Caenorhabditis elegans: one gene and its partners. The gene in region 3 interacts genetically with the main gene of each other region. Each region holds a gene or a part of one and is shown on either strand. Other genes may lie near its edges.

Region 1 (9,765 bases), 290 kb from region 3:
TACAACATAATATGTACTTGCATTGATTACAAGTACATGCAATATTTTCTCACACCATTATACTTGAACACCTGAATCATATAATTGACAGCAGTGACTAATTAGAATAACATGCACGTCTTCCTGTCTGAAATTTATCCGGTCATGAACTTTCCAAGTCATGGGAACCTAGGCAAGTGACGTGGTTATCTAACTAGCCAGTTAGATAACCACGTCACTTGTGCTAAGGTCCTTCCGGTACGCAATCGTATTCTATCTACTAATTAATAATAATTTTCTCATAGCCATTAAATATTTAACTTTCAGAATATTCAAAATGTCAATTTGATAAATCGAATTTAAGATGTTAAGAAAATATTAAATTCAGAAAAAAAATTATCTTCAAAATTCAATACCGTACCGTTCAATTTTTAATAAACATATGTTCTATAGCCCAATTTGATACACCAATTACTCTCAGCAACTCTTCATTTATCTTTTAGGCATTAGGACCTTATAAGGTGGTACCAAAATTTTCAGCCACCTGGCTAATTCTAGCAAGTTCCGTATAAGTAAAAGGTATAAATCAGAAAACTTAAGAATTTGAAAATATCCACAACTGCTTAAAAATTCAATTAAAGTTGTAAAATTAATCCTAACTCCTTGTGCTGTACAAAACCCATTTTATGGAAACATTCAGAATCCCCAATACTTTTTCTCTTTTCTCACATGACCTTATAGTTTATCTTCCGAATGCTGAATGTTTTTTCTTCAGTACAAATGTTTTGAATACCTAGGTAACCTCGAGTATGAGAAACAACATTAACAATGTTTTGGGAGAAACATGTAGTTTTGTACGTCCGGTCCAGTGAGAGTTTTCAACTTATTTTGGAAGAAATTTTTTTTTGACAAAATTTTGCAATTTCCCACGCAGAAATACGGTATGCCCCGTATCTCGCCACGAACATAATATTTTAAATTGACGGAAAGGTGTGCGCCTTTAAGAAGCACAGTAACCATTTTCCGGTTTTTTTTTTGAAATTGCCTTTGATTTTTACTTTTTTCTCCCAAAAACGAGAAATTTAATATAATCCATCAAAATCTTTGTGAACGAGAGAAATATAGTGAAAAACTCAAAGAAAATTGCGAAATGGATTACTGTACTCCATAAAGGCGCACATCTTTTCGAAAAATCGTGAAAAATTGCATCTGACCAACAGTTTTGCGTGGAATCTTCCTAGATTCAAATTTCCTATGAGTCATAAAACTATCATTTTATCGGACAATAACTACACGTGTACCTTGTTTCCATATGTTCTACCAATATAATTTGTGTTCATATGTGGCCAGGTACGGGAAATTAGAACACGGACTGATTTAGGAAGGTTCAAATTCGAGAACAATGGACGACTTGCTGCACGAAAACGTGGATTATTCTGAAACCGCCTATGTGATCACTATCGATTTAGCACTTCGGTTTTCTTTTTCCGTTTTCCTTTATATTCCGTATTGTATGCCGACAATAACGCTTTTTCTTTGTATAAACATTTCCAGAAGCAGAGCAAATTTGTTTATTCCAGAATTGACTGAATATTGAAATAATGTTTACAGACATACTGTAGATTTTTTTCTATTCAAACATGAATACAGTTTTTCGTATTTTTAATCTTCAGATAAGTTTTGTGTGTGTTTTTGAGAATAATATTTAAAAAAGATAAGCAAATATCAGAACTACGGTAAGCGAAGGGGTACGGTCGTCAATTGCGGACTTCCGAGCTGTGCACGGCGCCAAAATTTATTTTGAGTTTTAAAATGATTTTCTTTGTTTTTTTTTCTTTTTTTGACACGATAAGAACATTTTTCTGTATTTCTAATATTTTAAATGAGATCGTAATAAGTTTATTTAGCTCCATCACATTATTTTCGGAATATTCATCGCTTGAAAACGGCGTAAAATAGGTTCCAAGTAAATCATTGCAAACAAATCTCCGTTTATCGTTCTAACAAAGTTTTTCGTTCACTTTCTTATGTAAATCGTTTTCCCCACTTCTTCTTCACGGGAATGATCAATTGAAAGGCCATAAATTGGTTGTTTTCTCCACATTTCGCAACCAACATGCAGCTGTCGGATAGGCAATAAAATAATGTAATCAATGAGTTTTCCGATTTATCCTAACAGTTCTTTTTCTAGTGTTCCTATTCGAAAAAAGTACTGTTATCCTTCTTTTTGGACCGCCCATCTCAGGTGTCAAGACAATCGCAACACACTCAGAAAATGGGCGGAGTATGCCACCCGGCCTTCATTCGTCGCTCCTTGTCTTCTCCATTTTCGTTTTTTTCCTGTTCTCCGTTCTTTTTTTGTACTTTTGTGATAATGCTGAAGTGTTCTTTTTTTTCGCTTAACCGCATCTCTTGATTTAATTCATATTTTCTTTCAGATTCATGTACAATAACACCAAGAGCTGCTCTAACAACTAATAATAACAGAATCTCGAACAGCGAACACAACAATGCGAGTTCTTCTAATTTTACTCGCGTTTTTTGCGCCAATCGCCAGTCAACTTATGGGTGGAGAATGCGGAAGGGAAGGTGCTTGCTCCGTCAATGGAAAATGCTATAATGGAAAACTGATTGAGACATACTGGTGCCGGTAAGCATATATTTCATTCTCCCATGTCAATGTTATTCATCCGCTTTCTCATGAACCGTGACGAAAAGAACAAAAAAAAGAAAGTTTGGGCAGGTGGTGGTGGTGGGAAACAGGCGATAGATAAACAAAAGCTTGGTGTAGAGAACATTTTGAATAATATCCGAAAGTTGAATTATCACTGTCCATATTTCCCTCTAAGACATCATTAAACGCCACCCGGCTTGCAGAATGGGAACACAATGAACAGCAGGAGGCTGTCACAATGTAAAATCTCGTAAATCGTTCGGGAAATCTAAAAAATTGTTATTTAGTTTTCCCTTTTCTCTACAAACAATTCATTTTTCTTATCAATAACTTTGAGTTCCAAAGGCAAAATTTACAGCCGTTTACAGCCATCTTCCCAGGGTTGTCGGCGAATTTATATGGACGTTCATAAAACAATTGGATTAGCGTGTCGGTTCTTTAATCTTGTCTTTTCTTATTACTATCTAGCTCGTTTGATTAGTTATACAGAGAGTATCAACGTATTTATCGATAGGAAAATTGCGCCATGATGCTCTAAAATACATAAAATCGCTCGATTTATCTGAAAATAACACTTATTTCAGCTTAAAAATGTGAGAAAATGGTCCAAAATTGTCTGAAAGTTGTTGAGTGAATTATCGAGATTTGTTTTCTGATCACTTTCACGAATATATCAGCTGAAAAATTGTTATTTTCAAGTAAATCGATATATTTTGCCACGATTTTTGATTAAAAATACTGTAATTTATTGATTGTCACCCACCACTGGCCCACAGTCATAAATTGTCTCAATTGAATTACTTTTCAGTTTAAAAATAATTTAATCAAATTTACAGTTGCAAAAAAGGATTCGGAGGTGCTTTCTGTGAACGTGAATGCGATTTGGATTGTAAACGAGGCGAGAAGTGCATCTACGATGTTTATGGTGAAAATCCGACGTGTATCTGTCAAGGTAATTTTGTGAATCCTAAAATCTGTTAAATATCATAATATTTTGCCCGAAACGACCTATTTTCATAATGGGACTTCTCAAATCTTTAAATCAAATTATCGCCTTTTTGCATAGTTTGATAAATACTTTATCTCGATTCAAGTGTATTCTAATCAATCATTTTAAGATTTTAAACGTTTCAAATTCAAAATTTTGTTCCATGTTTTACTTCCACCTTTTTCTTCATCTGCCCTTTTTCATAGCGGCAATCTTTTTCACCACATCATCCATCATCACACTGCGAGTGTATTTTTCTTTGATTGTGCCCGACTTGTACGCAATTTTTTGTTTCAGGATATATCAAAATTTCGAAAACTTATTAGGGAAAACACGCGACCATACGTATAATAATTCTCCCGGGAGATCCCAACATTGACAAATTGTACCGCATTCGTGGTATCCTATTTTTCATTTCTACGCTCTCAAAATGACCGCTAGTGATAGATAGCTTCTACTAGGTCATATTCGCACATCTTCATCGCCTTTGTCATGCGATTTATTGCAAATGTTCGGTTTCATTGCGCGGGGGCAGTAGTATAAATCAAGCAGATGTTGTTACACAGACAGCCATGAGAAAATATTTATAAGTTTTATTATTCAGATTGCGAAGACGAGACTCCTCCAACAGAACGTACTCAAAAAGGCTGTGAAGAAGGCTATGGAGGTGAGTAAAGTTTGGATAATGTATGATTACTAATAGTCAATGACTTTGTATCACAATTATTGTTGTTTTGAGCAACAATTGACAGCTATTTTAATTTTTAAAAAGTTGCAAAATTGTTTTTTTTTCAATTTTATATTTTTCGAAAACACAAAGGACCAATGAAATTATCAGATTTTAAAAAATATAGTAAAAAATAAATTAAATATATTTAATTTAATTTAACATATTCTAATAAGAAATGCGCGAGATCCAAGTCTCCCACTGTGATAACTTTTTCCATCTGTTGTCGGAACCGATTTGATCTCAAATAAATCAAAATATTGCGTGTTCTTTTTCTCTATTTTACCGTAATGAGATTGACACCTTTCTCATCTCAAAGGAAATAATCGGCGGTTGGGGGTAATGAGGTGTGAATGGCTATTAGGAAAAACAAACTTCCGCCGGAATTTGAATTTAAATTCCACTTTTTTTAAAAAGAAGACAAAGGCCTATCCGTGATTAATACATTAATATTTTCAGGTCCTGACTGCAAAACTCCTCTATTTTCGGGAGTAAATCCATGCGATTCGGATCCTTGCAACAACGGACTCTGCTATCCATTCTATGGTGGATTTCAGTGCATATGCAACAATGGATATGGAGGATCGTATTGTGAAGAAGGAATCGATCATTGTGCTCAAAATGAATGCGCAGAAGGTTCAACGTGTGTCAATAGTGTATACAACTATTACTGTGATTGCCCAATTGGAAAATCCGGTCGATATTGTGAACGAACTGAATGTGCTTTGATGGGAAACATTTGCAATCATGGAAGATGTATTCCGAACAGAGATGAAGACAAGAACTTCAGATGTGTATGCGACTCGGGATACGAGGGAGAATTTTGCAATAAGGATAAAAACGAATGCCTCATCGAAGAAACGTGTGTTAACAACTCTACATGTTTCAATTTGCACGGTGATTTTACTTGTACCTGTAAACCTGGATACGCTGGAAAGTATTGCGAGGAGGCTATCGACATGTGCAAGGATTACGTTTGCCAAAATGATGGATACTGTGCCCATGACTCGAATCAGATGCCAATTTGTTATTGCGAACAAGGATTCACTGGACAACGATGTGAGATTGAGTGTCCTTCAGGATTCGGGGGAATTCATTGTGATCTTCCACTACAGAGACCACACTGCTCTCGGAGCAATGGAACGTGTTACAACGATGGAAGATGTATAAATGGTTTCTGTGTCTGTGAACCTGATTATATTGGAGATCGATGTGAGATTAATAGGAAAGATTTCAAGTTCCCAGATATTCAGTCATGCAAATACAATCCGTGTGTGAATAATGCGACTTGTATCGATCTCAAAAACAGTGGATATTCATGTCATTGTCCGCTTGGATTCTATGGATTGAACTGCGAGCAACATTTGTGTAAGTTCGAAAATTTTATTTTTATATACGACAAACGCGCCTTTAAAGAGTACTGTAGTTTCAAACGGTGAAATTTTCATCAATTTTTCAGCTTTTTAACATCAAATCTACATAGACTACACAGACTTAAATTTTGAAAAATCAATGGCAATCCCGGAGCAAGGAGAGTTTTTAAACTACAGTACTCTTTAGGAGCGCACATTTTTTCGCATTTAACAAAATTTTTGTCGTGGCGAGACCTGATACCGTATTTTTAGCTCAAGATTACTAGGCAGCATTCTTAATATCAACAAACTTCAGTGTGCACTCCAACTACATGTGCTAACGGAGGTACTTGTGAAGGTGTGAATGGCGTTATCAGATGTAACTGCCCCAACGGATTCTCTGGAGATTACTGCGAAATAAAGGATAGACAGTTATGCTCCAGACATCCATGCAAGAACGGAGGAGTTTGTAAGAATACTGGATATTGCGAATGCCAATATGGATACACTGGACCCACTTGTGAAGAAGTTCTAGTTATCGAGAAATCAAAAGAGACGTTAGTTTTCTTGGATACTATAAAGAATGCAGCCCAGAAAAATAATTTATTGAAGTAAAAAGCGGTTTCAATGAAATAAATACCTAATTTTAGCTCAAATCTCTAATTTTGCCAGCTTCGGTTTGTGTGACACGGGGAAGGTGTTAAATAAAATTTCTTTAGCTAAAATAAGGCTGTCTTTTTCCAAGATTTGAACTGCCATGATTTATTTGGAATTATTTTTTTGAGCCACTTGGAGTATAATGACGATGAAGATAAAATTCCTTCAAAATTTGTATTCAAGGTATTAAATGTGAACATTTCAGTGTCATTCGTGATCTATGCGAGCAACGAAAGTGTATGGATCTTGCTTCCAATGGTATTTGCAACCCGGAATGCAATTTGGAAGAATGTAATTTTGATGGAGGTGATTGCTCAGGAGGGCAAAGACCATTCTCCAAATGTCAATACCCTGCAAGATGTGCTGATCAATTCGCAAATGGAGTCTGTAATCAGGAATGCAATAATGAAGAATGTCTTTACGATGGATTGGACTGTCAATCAGAGTTATTTCGATGCCCAGCTCATATTCGGAAACATTGTATTGAAAGACGAGGCGATGGAGTTTGTAATTTAGAATGCAGTTTCATTGGATGTGGTTTTGACGGTGGAGATTGCAATAACGGAACAGAAGCAATAATCCTCAGTGATATTCGTATAAAAGTTCAAATTGATCCTATTGAATTCCAAGCTACCGGAGGAGAAACACTAATGCAAATCAGTGCAAATCTTCGAGCAACCGTACGTATTCAACGGGATGAACTTGGACCTCTTGTATTCAGATGGGATGGTGAACATGAAATGGAAAGAGTTGAGATGAATAGTAGCAAGCTCGAAGATCAATTTGTACTTTCGCATCACGTTCGCAGGTATCGGCAAGCTGTTGTCACTGGAATTGTCTTGTATTTGGAAGTCGAAGAAATATGTAAACCCGAGTTTTGCCGATTTTCAACAGCGCAAAGTGTCGTTGATTTGATTGCTGCTGGACTTGTGAAGTCTGATGTAAGTTATTTTTATGTGGAGTACGGCACCGGGCTGGAAACAAAATAATTTGGACCGAAATAACAAAAAAAATTAAATTTGTGAAAAATCCAAAAAGGTAGATTTCCGGTTCACTTTTCACTTTTTAGAAGAAAATCATCCGCGTTTTGCTAAAAATATTTGTAAAACATAAAAAAATGTTTGAAGTACAGAAAATTAGTTTTTGAATCCAAAACCAAAAAAACAATTTTTCGTCAAAATATCAAAAAGTCCCAGCACTGGTGGGGCTTAAAATCTATTTTTATGGTGATAAAATGACCAAATATAATTTTTAAAAATTAGAAAAATTTTATAGTATATTTCGAGCCAAAAAGCGGTGAACCTTTAATTGTTTGAGTTATGGAAAATAATAATTAAAACATTTTCAGGGTCGTATGTCTCTGGGTCTCCCAATTACGGAAGCAATGGTAGCTGTTCCAAAGAGAAACGAAATCGATGAAGGATGGTCTCGCAGTCAAGTTATTCTGTTTGCATGTATTGCATTTTTGGCTTTTGGAACTGTTGTCGCTGGTGTTATCGCAAAGAATGGTCCAGAAAGAAGTAGAAAAAGAAAAATGGTGAACGCAACAGTCTGGATGCCTCCGATGGAATCAACGAACGAGAAAGGTCGTCGGAATCAGTCAAATCATTCGAGTCAGTGCTCTCTTCTTGACAATTCTGCCTACTATCACCCCAATACCAAGAGACACTGTAGCGATTATAGTACCGGCTACAATGGAGAACAATATTCACAGATTTATCCACAAACTCTCGCAAATGGATATCCCGGTGATTACAACGAATTGAACTTTGACTTTCAATCTGAGACGTTCGCACCAGCTGATCTACCAGCCGACGAAATGTGAGTGAATCTTTATAGTTTTATTATAATTATTGTTATGTTTCTTTCAGCCCTCTCCATGTTCAAGCTGCAGGACCAGATGCGATTACAGCTCCAATCACAAATGAGTCAGTCAATCAAGTGGATTCAAAGTATAGACGACGAGTTCTGCACTGGCTTGCTGCCAATGTCAGAGGAAAACCGGAAGATGTCATTACAACAGAGGCAATTCGATGCTTGAAGGCTGGAGCCGATGTGAATGCAAGAGATTGTGATGAGAATACTGCTCTGATGCTAGCTGTTCGTGCACACCGTGTCAGACTTTCCGTAGTGCTTCTTCGTGAAGGAGCTAATCCAACAATATTCAATAATTCGGAGCGAAGTGCCCTTCATGAGGCTGTTGTCAACAAGGATCTGCGTATTCTGCGGCATCTTCTCACTGATAAACGTCTTCTCAAAGAAATTGATGAATTGGACCGGAATGGTATGACTGCATTGATGCTAGTAGCACGTGAACTCGGAAAACATCAAGTGGAGATGGCAGAGCTTCTTCTTTCAAAAGGAGCAAAACTTGATTACGATGGTGCTGCTAGAAAAGATTCCAACAAGTATAAAGGACGAACAGCTCTTCATTACGCAGCGATGCACGATAACGAGGAAATGGTAATAATGCTGGTCCGACGAAGCTCTAATAAGGACAAACAGGACGAAGACGGAAGAACACCGATAATGCTTGCCGCTAAGGAAGGATGTGAAAAGACGGTGCAATATTTGGCTCTTAATGATGCTAGTTTGGGTATAGTCGATTCAATGGACATGACTGCTGCTCAAGTTGCTGAAGCCAGCTACCATCATGAACTTGCGGCTTTTCTTCGCCAAGTGGCAAACGAACGGCATCGTAATGATATCATGCGACAGCAAATAGTCAAGTCAGGTCATGGTGCTAAGTCTGGGCGACAAACTGTGAAGAATATCAAAAGAGCAGGATCTCGAAAAACGCCAACAAGTGCAGCATCGTCTCGCGAAACAAATCATCTGACACCACCACCGTCTGATGGATCGTTCTCATCTCCGTCTCCACATTATTATCCGACGACTACATCGACACCGAATCGAATGGAAACAAGTCCGGAGTACATGTTTAACCATGAAATGGTGGGTAGATGATTATTAAAATGTTTAAGAAAATTAAATAATTTGTTTTAGGCACCACCGGTCAATGCGATGTGGTATACTACACCACCTCCTTATCAAGATCCAAACTATCGTCATGTGCCTCCAAATACTGCATTTCAAAATGCAGAGCAAATGAATGGCTCCTTCTACTGTTAATCTATTTAATTCATTAATTTTTCATTTATTGACTGTATCCCGGATGTTTCTTGTCCTCCCAACATATCTCCTAACTGCTCGGTTCATTTTAAATATGCTCATCTCACTACATCACCCAGACACTGGTCCCCACAGAGTTTTTTGTATACTATTTCGGGTCATTTTTCTTATTCTAGACTAATATTGTAAGCTATAAGTTGTAGAATAATTATTGATCCAAATCAGATTAAGAGTATAAGCTTTGTTTTTTCTCCTT
Region 2 (8,038 bases), on a different chromosome or scaffold from region 3:
CCCGGACACATTGGATGTGAGCGGATTCTGTTTTAATCTTGAAATCTTCCGATCGATCAATCTGGAAGGTATTAAGGTATGTCTTGGTTGATCAAATTTTGAAATTTGTTTTCTTTTCCAGAAATTCACTGCCCGGGACCATTGCTTGAACAGTCTCCGCAATTTTCCTTACCTGCCGAATTGCACAGTTCTCGGCCTTTCAAACAACAATATCAAGGAATGTACGAGAATTTTGGTTAAACAAGTTGTAAATGTGGAACATCTCGACCTGCGGAACAACTTTCTTACAATGAACTGCACATTTCCTTTGCTGTCGCTGAAATCGCTCACGCATCTGAAGCTGTCGGATAATTTTCGAGTTGCTTTTCGAGTTGCCTTTTCGAGTTGCATTTTCGAGTTGCCCGATCTTTTGCAACTTATTTTTTCAAAAGAATCCCGACGTTGAAGAGAATTGATGATAAACCGGAAAAGATGGCACCACTAGCTCTGGAAGAACATTTTGAAGATGAGGATAATAAACCTTCCAGCAGCACTTCCAGCAGCTTCTGGCGTCACATCAGTTATCAGGAGAGAAGCTTGAAACAAATGCAACCGAAGAAGACATGAAAATTTCCTTTTTTTTTACTGTTACAATACCTATTTCGTAAATTATATATATATATATATATATATCTCGTTATCTCTCCTTATATTATTTAATCCCAACATTGTATTCAGTTTCATTGGCTTAGCAAGTTTTCGATTGAAAATTTTTTTTTTCAGCCAAATACCGATTTTTCATATTTTTTTCGCATTTTTGATTGATGTTTCTGTGATTATTGGTTTTCCTATGTTGTTTTAAAAGGGTTTGTAATGTATCTTCGCTGAAATGTTTGTTTCATATTCAAAAACGGCAATGTTTCCACTTTCCCACTCGGTATCTTTTAGTTTTCAGGCTGCAGCTTCAAAAAATTGAAAATGGCGAAAATTTTAGGGTGGAATTTGTTTTCTTTTTTTTTTTCATATTTTACATAATACTATTTTCGTAATTTATTTTTTTCCCTCAAAATGTGCATGATGCGTTAAATTTTTTTTGGCATAGACTTCGCGTCCCAAATGGCGAGTAATAATTATTGAGAAGGAAAACTGTGTGCGAGCCCTTTGCAAAATGTGTGCGCACCACTTGCGGTATGCCTCATCGTGTGACTCCGCCCACATTTTCTTTTGTTTCCATTTTCTCTTTTCCCCTCAATTTATCGATTTTTATCCACTTTTTGTTTTTCACATTTAGAATTGAGTATTTCATCGCTATTCTGGTTGTTTGCGTTAAAGTTTGTCGTTCAAAATCGAAATTTTCGTTAAAAATCAAGGTTTTTATTTCAGAATGACTGAAGTCGTAAATGCCGACAAAATAAAAACGATTCGCGCGTACTACAAGCTGTGCCAAAAGCCGGAGAATCGAGCAGTCGTGCTTAAGGTAAGTCGTTAGCTCACTCAGGATTCACATGAAAATTAAATTTCTTCCAGGACAAAACATTTTTCCACACTCTCCCAACGCTCCTCAAGGACGAAAGCTCCGATGTCATCAGATACACGGTTAAAATCCTCGTTTTGCTCACAGAGCAGTCGGGGAACATCGAGCAACTGCTGAAATCCGCAGATTTACTTCCAGCATTGTCGGAAGCCTGCGAAAATATCACAAATCCCAGTGTCAACTATAACTTGGTCCTTGTCTCGAGTAGGATTCGAGTAGTGAAGAATTCGCTGGATGCCAAAAGAGCCGAGAAAGAGCCTCTAGCCGATGCGATCAAAGAGCTCGACAAGGGCGGAACTCTTCACCGAAAATTCGTTGGAAGAAAGTCAAAGCAGATTATTATGGAATTCGATGCGGAGGAATTCGATGAAACGAAGAAGCTGTCAGTTGAGAGAGGCCTTCTGAAGAAAAAAGGAGTAATCAGTGTATATATAACCGAGCAGAACTCAATTCCACGCGCCGTGCTCCGCACAATCCCGACAATCGAAGCCAAGGACATTGCGCAGTCCGTTTTCGCCGCCGCCGGATTCGAGTACGTCGCGCAGTTAGTGAAAGTGAACGGAATCGACGAGAAATTCGAGTTTTACGCGTCAGAGATGGGCAAAATCACGGAAAACTCGAAAGATTACCCCGAATATTTGGATGATGATGTGCTTCACGTGGATCCGGCAAGTTGTGTGATAACTAATGAGATGGCTGCCCATGGAAGTGGTCAAGAGGGCGGATGGTTCAGTTCGATCACTTCATTCGTCAAAACTTCCCTCTGGTGATGGAAGGAATTCTCGGATTATCTCGGAAAATCTCGAAAAAAAATGTATTAAAGTACTACGGTTTCTTCTTTGTTATCTCAATATTTTCTTTTTTCTCCTGTTTCTCGTTTTTTTTGAGATCTCTTTCTGGTATTATCACCGCACAGGCATATAAATCGTTTCACACTGGTTTTTAAATCCTCGTATTCTTGATTTTTATGTGTTTTTAAGCTGTTTTAACCAGCTCTAATTATCTATTCGGCAGTTTCAGATTCGAAAAATGCGATTATTCTCATATTTGGACGGTTGCGGTACCAAAAATAGAGGAATTTATCGGTATAAAATATCCTTAAAAATCCAAAGTCCTAGTGAAAATCTTGTTTTTGCGTTTTCATCTAGTTTCCGATTCGAAAAAACCCATTTTTCTAAATTTTCTACCTGAAACCACGTATTTTGACAGTTGCAACACCAAAAATAGAATAATTTTCCTTTAAAATCGCCACAGAAGCACAAATTCCAAGTGATAATCTTTATTTTGCGTTTTCAGCTAGTTTCCGATTCAAAAAATGCGATTTTTCTCGATTTTCTACCTGAAACCTCGTATTTTGACGATTGCAGTATCAAAATAGTGGAATGTTTTTCAAAATAGCCATAAAAGTAAAAATTCCTTTTTAGCTAGTATCTGATTCGAAAAATGCGATTATTCCTCAATTTTCAACTAGAAATCCTATTTTTTTTTAAATTTTCTACTCTAAATTTCGATTTTTCGCACTTTTCCACTCGAAATAAATTTATTAAATTTAAATTTAATTTTAAAAAAATCTTAGTTTTTGTGGATTTTTCCTGTTTAAAATGACTTTTCTCTGCTCCCACATGAAATTTGATAGTTTCAGCACCTAAAATATCGAATTTCTTTGCATTTTCTCGTCTAAAACTCACCATTTCCTTTAAAAAGTATAATTTTCAGTAGCTGTGAACTCCCAACAACCATGCTTCTTCACTCTACCAACTCTTATTCGATATTCACTGGTAAAACACAAAAAAATACAATTTTTTCGAAATTTCTTCATTTAAATTAATTTCCAGACCATGAAGTCGAAACTCGAACCTCTAGAATCCGCTCAGCGATGTTCCCCGACTGGATTCCACCAACTTCTGCTGCAGAAGCCACAAATTCAACTACAAGCATCGTCGAAATGATGCAAATGCCAACTCAACAGCTGAAGCAATCAGTTATGGATCTTCTAACCTACGAAGGATCAAACGATATGTCAGGACTCTCGCTTCCGGATCTAGTGAAGCTTATGTGCGATCATGATGAGTCAGTGGTTGCTAGAGCTGTTCATCGAGCTTATATGCTCTCAAGGGAAGATCCGAACTTCTTCAATGCGCCGGGATTCGATCATCGATCTTTTGTGGAAGCTCTGATGGCTGCGTCGAAGAGTTCCAACGTGAATGTCCGTCGGAATGCGATTGGAGCATTGTCTCACATGTCTGAGCAACGTGGAGGACCTCTTCTGATCTTCAGAAGCGGAGGGCTTGCTGAAATCATTCGAATGCTCTATGATTCACTGGAATCAGTTGTTCACTATGCTGTGACAACACTTCGGAACCTTCTGATGCATGTTTCTGATTCCAGAGCTCAAGCGAGAGCTCTCAACGCCGTTGAGGCGCTAACTCCGCACCTTCATAAGACGAATCCGAAGCTGCTGGCTCAAGTGGCGGATGGGTTGTATTTCCTGTTGATCGGTAAGGATTCACTGGAAAAATCAAGAATTTTGTACAAATTTGCATTTTTTAAAGCTATAAATTCAAATTTTCCACTCTAAAATTTCAAAAATCGGTCAATTTTGCAGACGATGCTCCATCGAAGATCACATTCCTATCACTGTTGGGACCACAGATCTTGGTTTCGATTCTTCGCGAGTACTCGGATCATCGGAAGCTCATCTATACCGTCGTCCGTTGCATTCGATCCCTGTCCGTTTGTCCGAGCAACAAACCGGCGTTGATCAGTCTTGGTACATGGATGTTTTGATTAAAAACTATTTTATATCGCATTTTTAGAGATATTTTCAGGTTTTTATCCACTGAAAAGCTGGAAATTTGAGATTTTTAGCTGAAAATACTTGAAATTCGCAGCTATTTCGAGTGTTTTGAAGCAATTTTTAAACATTTTCCTTTATCTTTCACGAAATTCCAACAAATTTCAAAATTTTTGTTCCGGTGGTTCAAAGTTTCGCTGAAACCTCCAATTTTACCCTCTTTCAGCAGGAAATTACTTTGAAATTGCGCGTTTTTTGAGAATTTTCCAATAAAAAAGTTCAGAAATTTAAACTTTTCAATATTAATTTTTTCTAGGCTGCCTTCCTGCTCTCTACGTGGAGCTCTGCACCGCAAAAGACGAGCGATCCCAGACGGCGATTCTAGTGGCGATGAGAAATCTGTCGGATTCTGCGACAAACGAGGAAAATCTCACTCAACTGATCATCAAGCTTCTCGAAATCATTCGTGTCGCCAACGATGGAATGACTGCCTGCGCGTGTGGAACATTGAGCAATCTCACCTGCAATAACACTAGAAACAAGCAAACCGTGTGTTCTCACGGGGGAATCGATGCTCTCGTCACCGCGATCCGCCGACTACCTGAAGTTGAAGAAGTCACCGAACCGGCTCTCTGTGCTCTTCGGCACTGTACTGCCAGGCACTCACTGGCTGAAGAAGCTCAAAGTGAGCTGAGATTCTGTCAAGCATTCCCAGTGATTTTGGATCAGCTGGAAACTCTTCGTACTCCAGTTATCAAGGCAGCTCTCGGAGTTATTAGAAATAGTGCACTTCTTCAAACAAATCTTATCGAGTTGACACAAGAACAAACTGCAAATGGGCATACAGCTGTGTCACTGACAATGGATATCTTGAGAAGAGCTATCACGGCGATTGAGGAGAATCCTGATATTGCTGTAGATGGAGTTCCAATGTGGGGAGTCATCGAAGGAGCTGTCTCGGCTCTTCATCAGCTCGCGAATCATCCGGCAGTCGCTGCAGCATGCTGTGATGATATTGGACAAGTCGGAAATCCAGAATGTCCACCATTCTTGGATCTTCTCCATCGTCTTCTGGCTCATCCGAGACTCGGATCCATGGATGATGAAGTTCTCGAACGCGAGATTCTTGGGCTTCTCTATCAGTTGAGCAAGCGGCCAGACGGAGCCCGTGCTGTTGAGAGTACTGGAGTTAGTGCTCTTTTAATGGAATCTCGTGGCTCACAGTACAAATCAGTCGTCACTTATGCGAATGGAGTGTTGAGTAATTTGAAGAGAGGAGATTCAGCTGCCATCATGAATATGTCTAATGTGAGGAATTAGGAAAAAAAATAAATTTTCCGTAAAAAAACCGAAAAATCGAAAGAAAACTTTTGAGCCACCACGGATTTAAGATATTGTGGGATTCCGGATCGTTGAAAAAATGTGTTCTATGTGTTGGCACGGTGATCCGGAAATGGTAGATCTAGAATCCCACCGGATCTTGAATCCGTGGGGCCTCAAAGTTTTTTAAAAATTCAATGTTTTAATGAAATATTGTCCATATGGACAAATGTTGATGAGAAAAACCATATAATTTTGTTCTAAAAACAAGGAAAATAGTTCAAATTTTCAGCTTTTTTTCGAAAAATAGAAAAAAAAATTTCAACATAAATTTCCGATTTTCGAGCGAGCCATTCATGAATTAATTCCGAATTTTCAGTCGTACGACTACGAGATGAGTGGAAGTGCTGCGGATTGGCAACGTGATGGGCTGGAACGAGAGCTTTTCGCTGAAATGTATCCGACAAACGACGGCGGACACTCGGAATCCATTAATATGGCGTTGAACAACTCACAAATGCGCCCTAATCACAATTGGTACGATACCGATTTGTAATTAATTTATCTTCTCGTATTTTTGCATTTTTTACACATAATCTGCTGAATATATCCACTGGGAATTATTATTCATGGTTTTAAATTTAATTTTTGATACTTTCAATATATTTATATTATAAATGTAATTTTATACTTCCTACTATCTAATGTTATACGTATCTTTTTTTTGGTTCTTCGGTTCCTTTTTCCTATATTTTTTCAAAAAAAAAATTTCAGACAATTTAAACGAAAAATTTCCAGATGAGTATCTGCCTTGAAAAGCAGAAAATCCGATGCGGAATGATAAGCCGGACGGCTCGACACATTGCCATCGATGAGAATAGTGGAAAAATGGCAATTGTGAGGAAATCTAGGTTTGTACGGAGGATTTATTGGAAAAAATGATTTTTGAAATTAAAAATTAAAGGTGGAGTAGAGTCAAAACAAATTTTTTGCTTAAAATGACAGAAAATATACCCAAATAACCGATTATAACTGAAAAAATGTTCTAAATTTTTTATGATTTTTCAATTTTTCAAAAATTGAATTCCCGCGAAAATAAGTGACGTAATTTGTTTATATTCTCGCGTTTTCTGGCTAAATTCTTTGGTTTTTCTTGATTTTTCTTACACATATTTAGTTTTAAACTCTGTTTCTCAAATTTTCAGGTACTTTTCCGTGAATAAAACTTGATAACCTTGGAGAAATTGGCGGAAATTTTCAAATTTGCCTAAAATTCCACAATTTAATAGTTATTTATATATTTTATTTGGAAAAGGGTTTCAAATTTTGAAAAACAGGGTTTAAATCAAATAAATCAAATATTGAACGAAAAATCAAGAAAAACCGAAAAATTCAGAAAACGCATCACTCATTTGCGCGGGAATTCAAATTTAATTTGGCCGTTTATTTGATTATTGAAGAATTGAAAAAAATCATTAAAAAATTTAGAACATTAAAAAAAAATTACAGTTATATTCGGTTAATAGGGTATATTTTCTGTCATTTGAAGCAAAAAAAAATTGACTCTACTTCCCCTAAAATCATCATAAATCAATACATATAACTAAATATTTCAGATCCTCGGAAACCCACGACTACATCGAATTCTACAACATCCTTAGCAGCTGGCTTGCAATTCCAGAACTCACCGTATGCCCAGAAAATGGCTCAATTGAGCACCTTCTATTCGTTGATAATGGAGAACTGATGTCTTCACATGCAAATGGTTCAGTGTGTTTCATCGATCCACACAATATTGAAAGAATCAAGAGAATTCAAATTTCGGCGTCAACGATTTGGGCGGCTTGTAAGCATACGGAGAACACAATTGCAATGATTTCGCACTCTTCTGTTCTTTATTTCTTCGATGTCTCGACGAAGATGATAATTTCATCGATATCTCTGGGAGTTGAAAGTCGACTTTTCGATGTTTCAAGTAATGGAACCATCGTCGCAATTGGATCAATCGATGGTGTAATTATTGCTGGCGACGGAAAAGTTCAACAGACTCTGAAACTGGATCGTCTCAACCGTCGTGATCCAACAATTGCCTGGTCTGTTCTCTTCGTCAAACCTTCACTGTTAGCGTGTGGAGATTCTCGTGGAACTGTCACTTTTTGGAATCCAATTGATGGATCTTTGATTCAATCGATTTCCTGTCTTCAATCACATATTCTCGCAATGGTTTCTACTGATAATTCCACGTTGAATATCGCTGGCGTTGATCCAAGAATCACTGAGCTCCGGGAGACTAGAAATGGAAATTACGAGATTGTAAATCGGAGAACTGGACCTGCAAGAGATGTCCGATCGATGGCGGTTTATGAGAATATTGTATGGGTTAAAAATTTAAATTAAAAATTGAAAATTCT
Region 3 (7,158 bases):
ACATTCTAAGTCTAACACTCTTACTATGTCCAATCGATGAAGAAAAGACGACCCCAAGAGGGAAAGACGGATTCTTTTGAGGTGTGTGTGGCTGTGTGTTGGAAGTGGGAGGGAGATGGATAGATAGTCGGAGGGATCAGACGCGAAAGTAATCTACGTCTCCGTATCCCTCGCCAGTTGAATAGCCGGTCACATCGGACATACGCGAGTGCGACCCGACGACAAAAGAGAAATAGAACAGCCTGAAGAGGTGTTAGAGAAATAGAGAAACGCGAAGAGGGGTTCGCATGAGAGACATAGAGAAGCTATGGTAGTAGAGAGACCCCCACTAGGGTCTGCTGCATCCCGTCTTCGTCCTCGTCCTCCTCTTCTCCTCTCTGTTCTGTTCTTTTTGCCTCGTCGCGTGTATGTATGCATTCAGCAGTCAGTCTGCATCTATCCATACTCTCAACCACAGCTGGGACACACTCAATCAAAAGTTACACTTGTTTTTCGCCTCTCCATCTACTTCTCGCTTTTCCCAGTCAAGTCTTGTTTTTCCTTCTGTTTTTCCACTTTTTTCCTTCCACGGACGTCGTCGTCATTCTCATTTCTCGTTTTGTCGATGTTGTTCGAGGCTTTATTCGGTCTAAATCCGATCGATATGTGATGGGTCAAGTGTCAGGTGCTCAGCGCCTTGTCGCCCCACAAAGAAAAAGACAAACCGTGTTGTCGCTGTCCGAGACATTTGTGCCGATTTTCTGTTCCTTTCGGCTACTATCGTCAGTCTGACGACCCAATTTTTTCTGGTCTCTGACACTTATTGTCATTATGAACACCTTTTAGATATCTTCAGTGAGGAAATTGTCGGAAAATTAATATAATTTCTATGGTTTTTCATTATTAATTTTTATAGTCAAATTTAGAAAACAAATCCTCGATAAAATTTATTTATTTATTTTTGATTCATCAAAAAAGAATTTTTAGCCTTGAAAAATGTTTAAAAACCAGTGAAGTTCTATTAATAAATTCTCTTGCTTCTTAAATTTTTTTTTTTAATTTTAAAAACTTTTTGTTAAAGATGTTAATTTTCTGTAGAAATTTTTATTTCACACAATAACCATTAGTTAAATTAAATTTATAACTGTTCCCCAAGTGGTTTTAAAAAATCAATAAAATGATTTCTTGACTATCGTAATCCTTCGTGACCCCTCTGTAGAGATTTTCTTGTGTTATGCAAGTACCCCATCGTAAATTTTCTTTTCTCGATACCCGAAGTATATCCGATCACATCTGTGTCTATGATGATACTGATTACTTTTCCATTTATATTTATCACCTTGACCGTTAATTTTCAATATTTAATTTTTCAATGACAATACAATGTTAATTTTTATAAGGTTATGTGGTAGAAAATGTTAGGCGAGGTTTAGAGAAAAATATAAAAGTTTATTAACTTTATTTCGCCCTTGGACGATTTTTTAAGCATCCAAATGACTCTTTTCATTTAAATTTTTATATTTTCCGATCCGTATATTATTTTCTTTTCAACTAATTTTATTAAAACATACGGCTATATGAAATAAAGCACTGGAACGCAGAAAGTTAGAGAGAAAAGGAGCAAAGCTTCCCCTTCTTGTTTGTATGTATGTGCTCCTTGTGTGCATGTGACATAGAAGAGCCGACGTCGCTGCGCCCCTGTGAGAATTCATGCATGCTTGGCACGATGCCAAGTTGTATGTGTCTATCTTCACCTCCTTTTTCTTCTTCTTCTCGATTGCTTCTCCCTCTCTTCCAAACGAGAACGTGATGTCGGTCTCTCCTACTGTAGGCTACTAGTTGTCTGTGTCTAATACTCTCTCATTGTCAAAGACTTCAAATCGGGAAGATTGTGATGGTGGTTTGGTGACGAGAGAGAGATAGAGAGAGAGAGAGAAAGACACTGACGATGTCGTCGTTATCAGTGTATTTCTTCTTCTTCCTTTTCTTCCATACACAATCTGTAATTCTCTGTCGTTCTCTCAATTTGATTATCACTATTAAATGTATATTCATTCATTCACGCCCATAACTTTTTTGACTTGACTGAATCGAAAATCGAATCGATGGCCGCTCCCCGATAATAAGAAGGAGAGAGAAAAGAGAGACGCTGCAAAAATTTTTTGTCTTTGAATGACCTCTATTCGTCGTATTGATTGACTGCTGCCGTTTGTCTTTTGTGACGAAATTTTGTACAGTTCCATTTTCTTTTATTTCAAAAATTGAGAGAAAAATATCTAATGCTCGGCGTTAAATTTTCAATGAAAAATTTGTTCACTCAAATTGGCCCGAAAAGTCCGAAATTCATAACGAAACTTTTCAATAATTCCTCAAACTTTTTTATAGCAGTTTTACCTAAAATTCTAAATTTTGAAGAATTAGCCTTTATGCAAAATTTTGAATGGCCATAAAAGATTTTTCAATGAATTTCTGAAGAGTTTCGTAATTTGATATTTGATATTTTCAAATGGATTTTTAGTGTATTTTATAAAGCAAAACATTCTTCAATTTATTTTGTTTTCCGAATCTAATATTTAAATATCTCTATGAAACTTTAATACTATTTTTGATACGCATTCAATTATAGATAATTGTTAAACGTTCTTTTTTCTCCGAAATTAGGTTATTTCTATTTGTTCTGTTTCTTTATTTGTCGCTCGGCCATAATAAATCAATAATTTACGGCAATATACCTCTAATCTCCCCTTTTCTGCGTAATTTTTACCGAATTTTTACAGCACATCACCATACAAATGAGCCACGCCTGACCTCTTGACCAGCTACAGTAACCCAAAAAAAATTATCGTAAGTTTTTTCGAATTTTTGTGGAAAATTTGTGAATTGTATTCTCAAATGGATAATTATTTTTACAGAGTCCCCCGAAATTGCTGAAAAATGAAGGAGATGGTAGGTGGATGCTGCGTTTGTGCAGATGAGAATGGTTGGACAGACAATCCATTGATCTATTGTGATGGAGAGAATTGTGAAGTTGCAGTACATCAGGGTGAGTAGAAGTTCACAGAAATTGAAAAATTTTAGTATTTTTCCCGATATTTCGAAAAAAAATCCAACGTTTCCAAGCATTGTTTGAAGTTTTGCTTTTTTCCATCTTATTAGATGAATTTGATTTTTTTTTTTCGATTTTCTCTCAAAAAACCAAATTTTCCGATTAGGCCCCACCGAATTTTTATCATTTCAGGATGTTATGGAATTCAAGAAGTACCCGAAGGCGAATGGTTTTGTGCAAAATGTACGAAAGCATCAGCTATGATGCCCGGCAGTATAAATGAGGCAACATTTTGTTGTCAATTGTGTCCGTTTGACTATGGAGCATTGAAAAAAACTGATCGAAACGGATGGGCTCATGTAATTTGTGCACTTTACATTCCAGAAGTGCGATTTGGGAACGTACATAGTATGGAACCAGTCATATTAAATGATGTACCAACTGATAAGTAAGTTTTTCTCAAGAATATGGGTAATTCAATATGAAAAATGTGTCTGATCAAGGGTGAATATTTTTTGAGTTTTCGACTTTCGATTTTTTGACTCTCTGGAAAATCTCAAATTTTAAAAATTTCCGGTACATTTCTGAACCGAAATTTTTTTTCCAGTTTTTCGATTTTTCGACTTTCAAAAAAAAAACAACAACAAAAAATCTAAACATTTTAAACTCTTTCTTTGAAAAAATCTTGAAGTTTTATTACTATCTCGATCAATTTATATATTTTATAGATTCAATAAACTGTGCTACATCTGCAATGAAGAACGTCCAAATGATGCGAAAAAAGGTGCATGTATGTCGTGTAACAAGTCGACGTGCAAGGTATTTTTATTTTTCTTTAAATTTCTTGTAATTTAAACGAAATTTTCAGAGGAGCTTTCACGTAACCTGTGCTCAGCGGAAAGGACTTTTATGTGAAGAAGGGGCAATAAGTCGGAATGTCAAGTATTGTGGTTATTGTGAAAATCATTTGAAGAAAGCGGTATGTTTATTGAAGATTTATGCGCTAAAAATTGAGAAAAAAGTATTAAAATCGATTTCTTAATATTTTAAGAAAATCAGGCCAGATTATCACTTGGTTTTTCATAGAAGTGAAAATAAAAATAGAACTACAGTACCCATCAATTTCAAATATTTAATCCCTAGTCATACTGGTGCTGTGAAGGTCCGATGCTTGATAGACCAGGTGGATAGACACCTGTCTCTTGAAAAACTAGAGATTGTACGGAGTATTAGAGATTCAGAGAAGTAAAAATATGAATACAATCGTGTGTGCCCGCTTCTTCTCTGCATCTCTTCTCAGGATACTCTATTTCTGAGTCACAGCATTGGGACCCTGGAATAGCAACACAGCCATTGCGCTTCACTCTTAGAGTGAAAGAGATAGAGATGGAGAAAGAGACGTCCTCCGTCCTGTTTTCATATCTGCGTCTAAAATCTCTTTATCCTGAGAAAAAGAAACCGAAAGAGAGGTTGAGAGAGAGAGGGAGACATTGTCGAAGGAGGTCCGCGTGCTTCCACATACACATACACACACCATCCATTCAACACAACACACTTGAGAAGATGGAATAGACGAGAGAAGAGAGTACAGACGTTTAGACGAAATGAAATGGGTTGGGCCAACGGCTGGCTGGATGGATGGCTGACTGAGTGTGACAACGACAAATAGTGCTCGGGGGGGGGGGGGGCACTGAGAGAGATAGACGAAGAACTCGGAGAGACATAGACACAAAAAGGAACAAATTGCTGTCGGGCCAAGCGAGTTTGGAAGAGAAAGAGACGTGCATAGAGTGTCTCTCTCTCTCTCAATTTCATAAGCTTAGATGATTCTCTGCGTCTGCTCTTCGCCGCCCCTTCTGGACTTCTTTTTCTCGGGTGGCCCCCGGCGGCCGTTGTTTCGTCTGCGCTTCTTATTTTCCTCTTTATCGTCATCGTCGTATTCCTCGCTTTGTCCTGCTTTTTCGTTTTCTCCGTCCGTACGCACACATACATACACACGCACATAGTGAGGCAACATCATTCTCTTGTGCTTCATTTGGTTCTTCTTCGACGAATACTCGATAGATTTGAATATAGTCGTCGCCACGTCATACTCTACATTTTCCTGCTACATCATCCTTGCATCTCCCCACTTTCTCACTTGTTACGGTTTTTGCTTAACTCTCTACGTCTCTACTCACTCTCTCACCTACTTTCCTCTTCTCGTTGTGTTTGATGTCACCTTTCTCATCGTCTTCCGTCAATGGAGTTTTTTTGTCGCCAAAGAGAGACATTCACTCATTTTCTCTTCCGTCTCCCTGAAGTAGTTCTATGTTCTTTTTTTTTTTTTTCTAGACTTTGTCATTTAACATTTTTGTTTTACATTTTGGTACATTCACAGAATTATTTCTAAATCTAAATTAAACTTTTGATCTTGAAAGTAGGCCTATCATATAGGCCTCACCGCCTGCCTGCCTCACCTTAAGACGATCTTCGCCTGTTTCCAACTAAGTTGAATGTCTTGATTGTTCTCGGGGGTTGTCAAATTTTTGATGTTATTCTAATTCACCTAATTTAAATTAAACGGTAACAAATATCATAAAACCCTTTAGTTTTTTTTGAAAAAGTCTAATAATCTTTATTAGTTCTTTTTACTAATGAGGACGCTGCAAATTTTTGTTTTTTTTTTCAAAATTCAGCACAAACTTTTCCAAAACACTGAGCAATGTTTTGTTCCGTCTCTTTTCAATATCTAAGTCTCCCTTTAGCTGGTCTCTACACTTCTCCGAATATCTTCAACTTCTAAGTCTATCAATCATGGGATCCTTCATTGTTGTCTTACTTCCGCGCACCTCTCAACCCGGTAGACATTTTTGTATCGTACTGATCAAATGCAGGCAAAGGAGGAGAAGTGGGCGCCCAGGCGCTGGGTCGACCGGCGGTGGCCATTGTCGTCGCGTCGTCGTTGATGTCCTTCGCAGGATCGTCGCCGATTCGATTCGTTTTCTCTCTCCACCTCCTCCTCCGCACAGGCACACACACACACACAAGTTTTCGTTTTTTCGGAGTGCTGGTAGTGGTTTTACTCGCTTCCTATCCTTCACTTGTTACCCCTGTCGCCTCTGTTGATTGCACTCCCTTCGTTTTTCCCGTTGCAATCATCCGATCGGAGGACTCTTCGATGTTTGTCTGCATGTCTGATCACTCTTCCGATCAAATGATGCCTTAGGCATCCTTGTCGTGTCGCCGCGCTCTCACTTGTTTCCACCCTCTTTCTATTGCCGTGTCGATTCGATGACTGGTGAATGATCGGTGTCCTCTGCCTGGCCCCGAGACGGCGATGCTGTGGCTGCGACTGCTGCTGTGTGTTTCTCATTTTTGTGACTGAAGGCTTTGTGTGTGTACGTGTCTCTACGCGCATAGATGTGTGTATGTCTCCAAAGCAGCAAAATGCTTAAGACTCTGCGTCTCTTTTGCGCAATCGAGACGAAGAAACCTTGGAGAATCAGACGACGATAAGGAATGAGGATATGAAGAGAGAAAGACAGTTAGAAGAAGAGAGAGTGACGTGCACAATGAGAGAAAGAGAGAAACATTCAATCAGCCTGTGGAGGGTGGCTGGTGGTCGGTCATACACTCTCATACGCATAGTCATTCACAACATTGGGCGCACGGTTTTGTTGGCTTGCTGCCAATAATAACTTTAGTGAAAGAGATGTAGAGAAGAGAAGAATAGAAATCGCCCGATTTTGTCGTTTTTCAAAGTTGATTTCTTATCATTTTACTTTGTCTGTCTTATCGTTTACAGGGCTTCCCAGTATTTTCACAATTTCTTGAATTTATCTTGGTTCAGGTGTGGAAGTTTATGTATCTTTTTTCATTTCGTTCCGATTATCTCTTTTTTCATCAAAAGTGTCTTCTCGTTTTCTCTTTGCTTCTTCTCCTTGCCGACGAAGAAAGAAGAATAAGAAGATGATGAAAAACATAAAAAAGTGGGTCATTGTTAATCGTCTGCGTCTCTTCCGTTTTGTACTCTCTTATACTCTATGTCTTCGGTTTCTCTGCGCAAAATAAGAATCGTGAGCATATCCTCTTGCCAAACTTTAAACATTTTAAAAAGCGTTTTGAAATTTAAACTTTATAATTGATTTCAA

The links.
Region 1: of zfp-1 (region 3) and glp-1, a change in one rescues a mutant of the other (synthetic rescue), as found in Caenorhabditis elegans (one study listed by BioGRID).
Region 2: of zfp-1 (region 3) and hmp-2, a change in one rescues a mutant of the other (synthetic rescue), as found in Caenorhabditis elegans (one study listed by BioGRID).

What each region holds. Positions count from the first base shown.
Region 1 is NC_003281.10:9,089,824-9,099,588, forward strand, and holds the start of glp-1 (glp-1/Notch intracellular domain), read left to right. Parts: upstream 1-2,417; 5' UTR 2,418-2,489; coding exon 2,490-2,629; intron 2,630-3,489; coding exon 3,490-3,605; intron 3,606-4,245; coding exon 4,246-4,308; intron 4,309-4,827; coding exon 4,828-5,736; intron 5,737-6,036; coding exon 6,037-6,277; intron 6,278-6,582; coding exon 6,583-7,318; intron 7,319-7,725; coding exon 7,726-8,198; intron 8,199-8,248; coding exon 8,249-9,332; intron 9,333-9,383; coding exon 9,384-9,509; 3' UTR 9,510-9,765. UniProt on the Caenorhabditis elegans protein: Essential signaling protein which has a major role in germline and embryonic development; involved in cell fate decisions that require cell-cell interactions. Probable membrane-bound receptor for putative ligands lag-2 and apx-1.
Region 2 is NC_003279.8:14,736,340-14,744,377, forward strand, and holds hmp-2 (Armadillo/beta-catenin-like repeat protein), read left to right. Parts: upstream 1-2,542; coding exon 2,543-2,598; intron 2,599-3,229; coding exon 3,230-3,291; intron 3,292-3,348; coding exon 3,349-4,011; intron 4,012-4,118; coding exon 4,119-4,283; intron 4,284-4,623; coding exon 4,624-5,615; intron 5,616-6,006; coding exon 6,007-6,183; 3' UTR 6,184-6,317; downstream 6,318-8,038. Other genes in the region: K05C4.4 (Leucine Rich repeat-containing domain protein), read left to right, coding at 1-76, 122-445; K05C4.7 (Armadillo repeat-containing protein 1), read left to right, coding at 1,364-1,456, 1,507-2,283; K05C4.5 (WD_REPEATS_REGION domain-containing protein), read left to right, coding at 6,426-6,538, 7,244-8,000. UniProt on the Caenorhabditis elegans protein: Required for cell migration during body enclosure and cell shape changes during body elongation. Plays a role in recruitment of the cadherin protein hmr-1 to adherens junctions.
Region 3 is NC_003281.10:8,795,642-8,802,799, forward strand, and holds the start of zfp-1 (Zinc finger protein zfp-1), read left to right. Parts: upstream 1-2,756; 5' UTR 2,757-2,823; intron 2,824-2,891; 5' UTR 2,892-2,913; coding exon 2,914-3,022; intron 3,023-3,217; coding exon 3,218-3,473; intron 3,474-3,753; coding exon 3,754-3,844; intron 3,845-3,891; exon of another isoform or gene 3,892-3,893; coding exon 3,894-4,004; intron 4,005-4,844; coding exon of another isoform or gene 4,845-5,060; intron 5,061-7,158. Other genes in the region: F54F2.6 (uncharacterized protein), read right to left, coding at 4,845-5,060. UniProt on the Caenorhabditis elegans protein: Recruits the histone methyltransferase dot-1.1 to chromatin to methylate 'Lys-79' of histone H3 and activate transcription. Recognizes and binds histone H3 methylated at 'Lys-4' (H3K4me) at the promoters of target genes.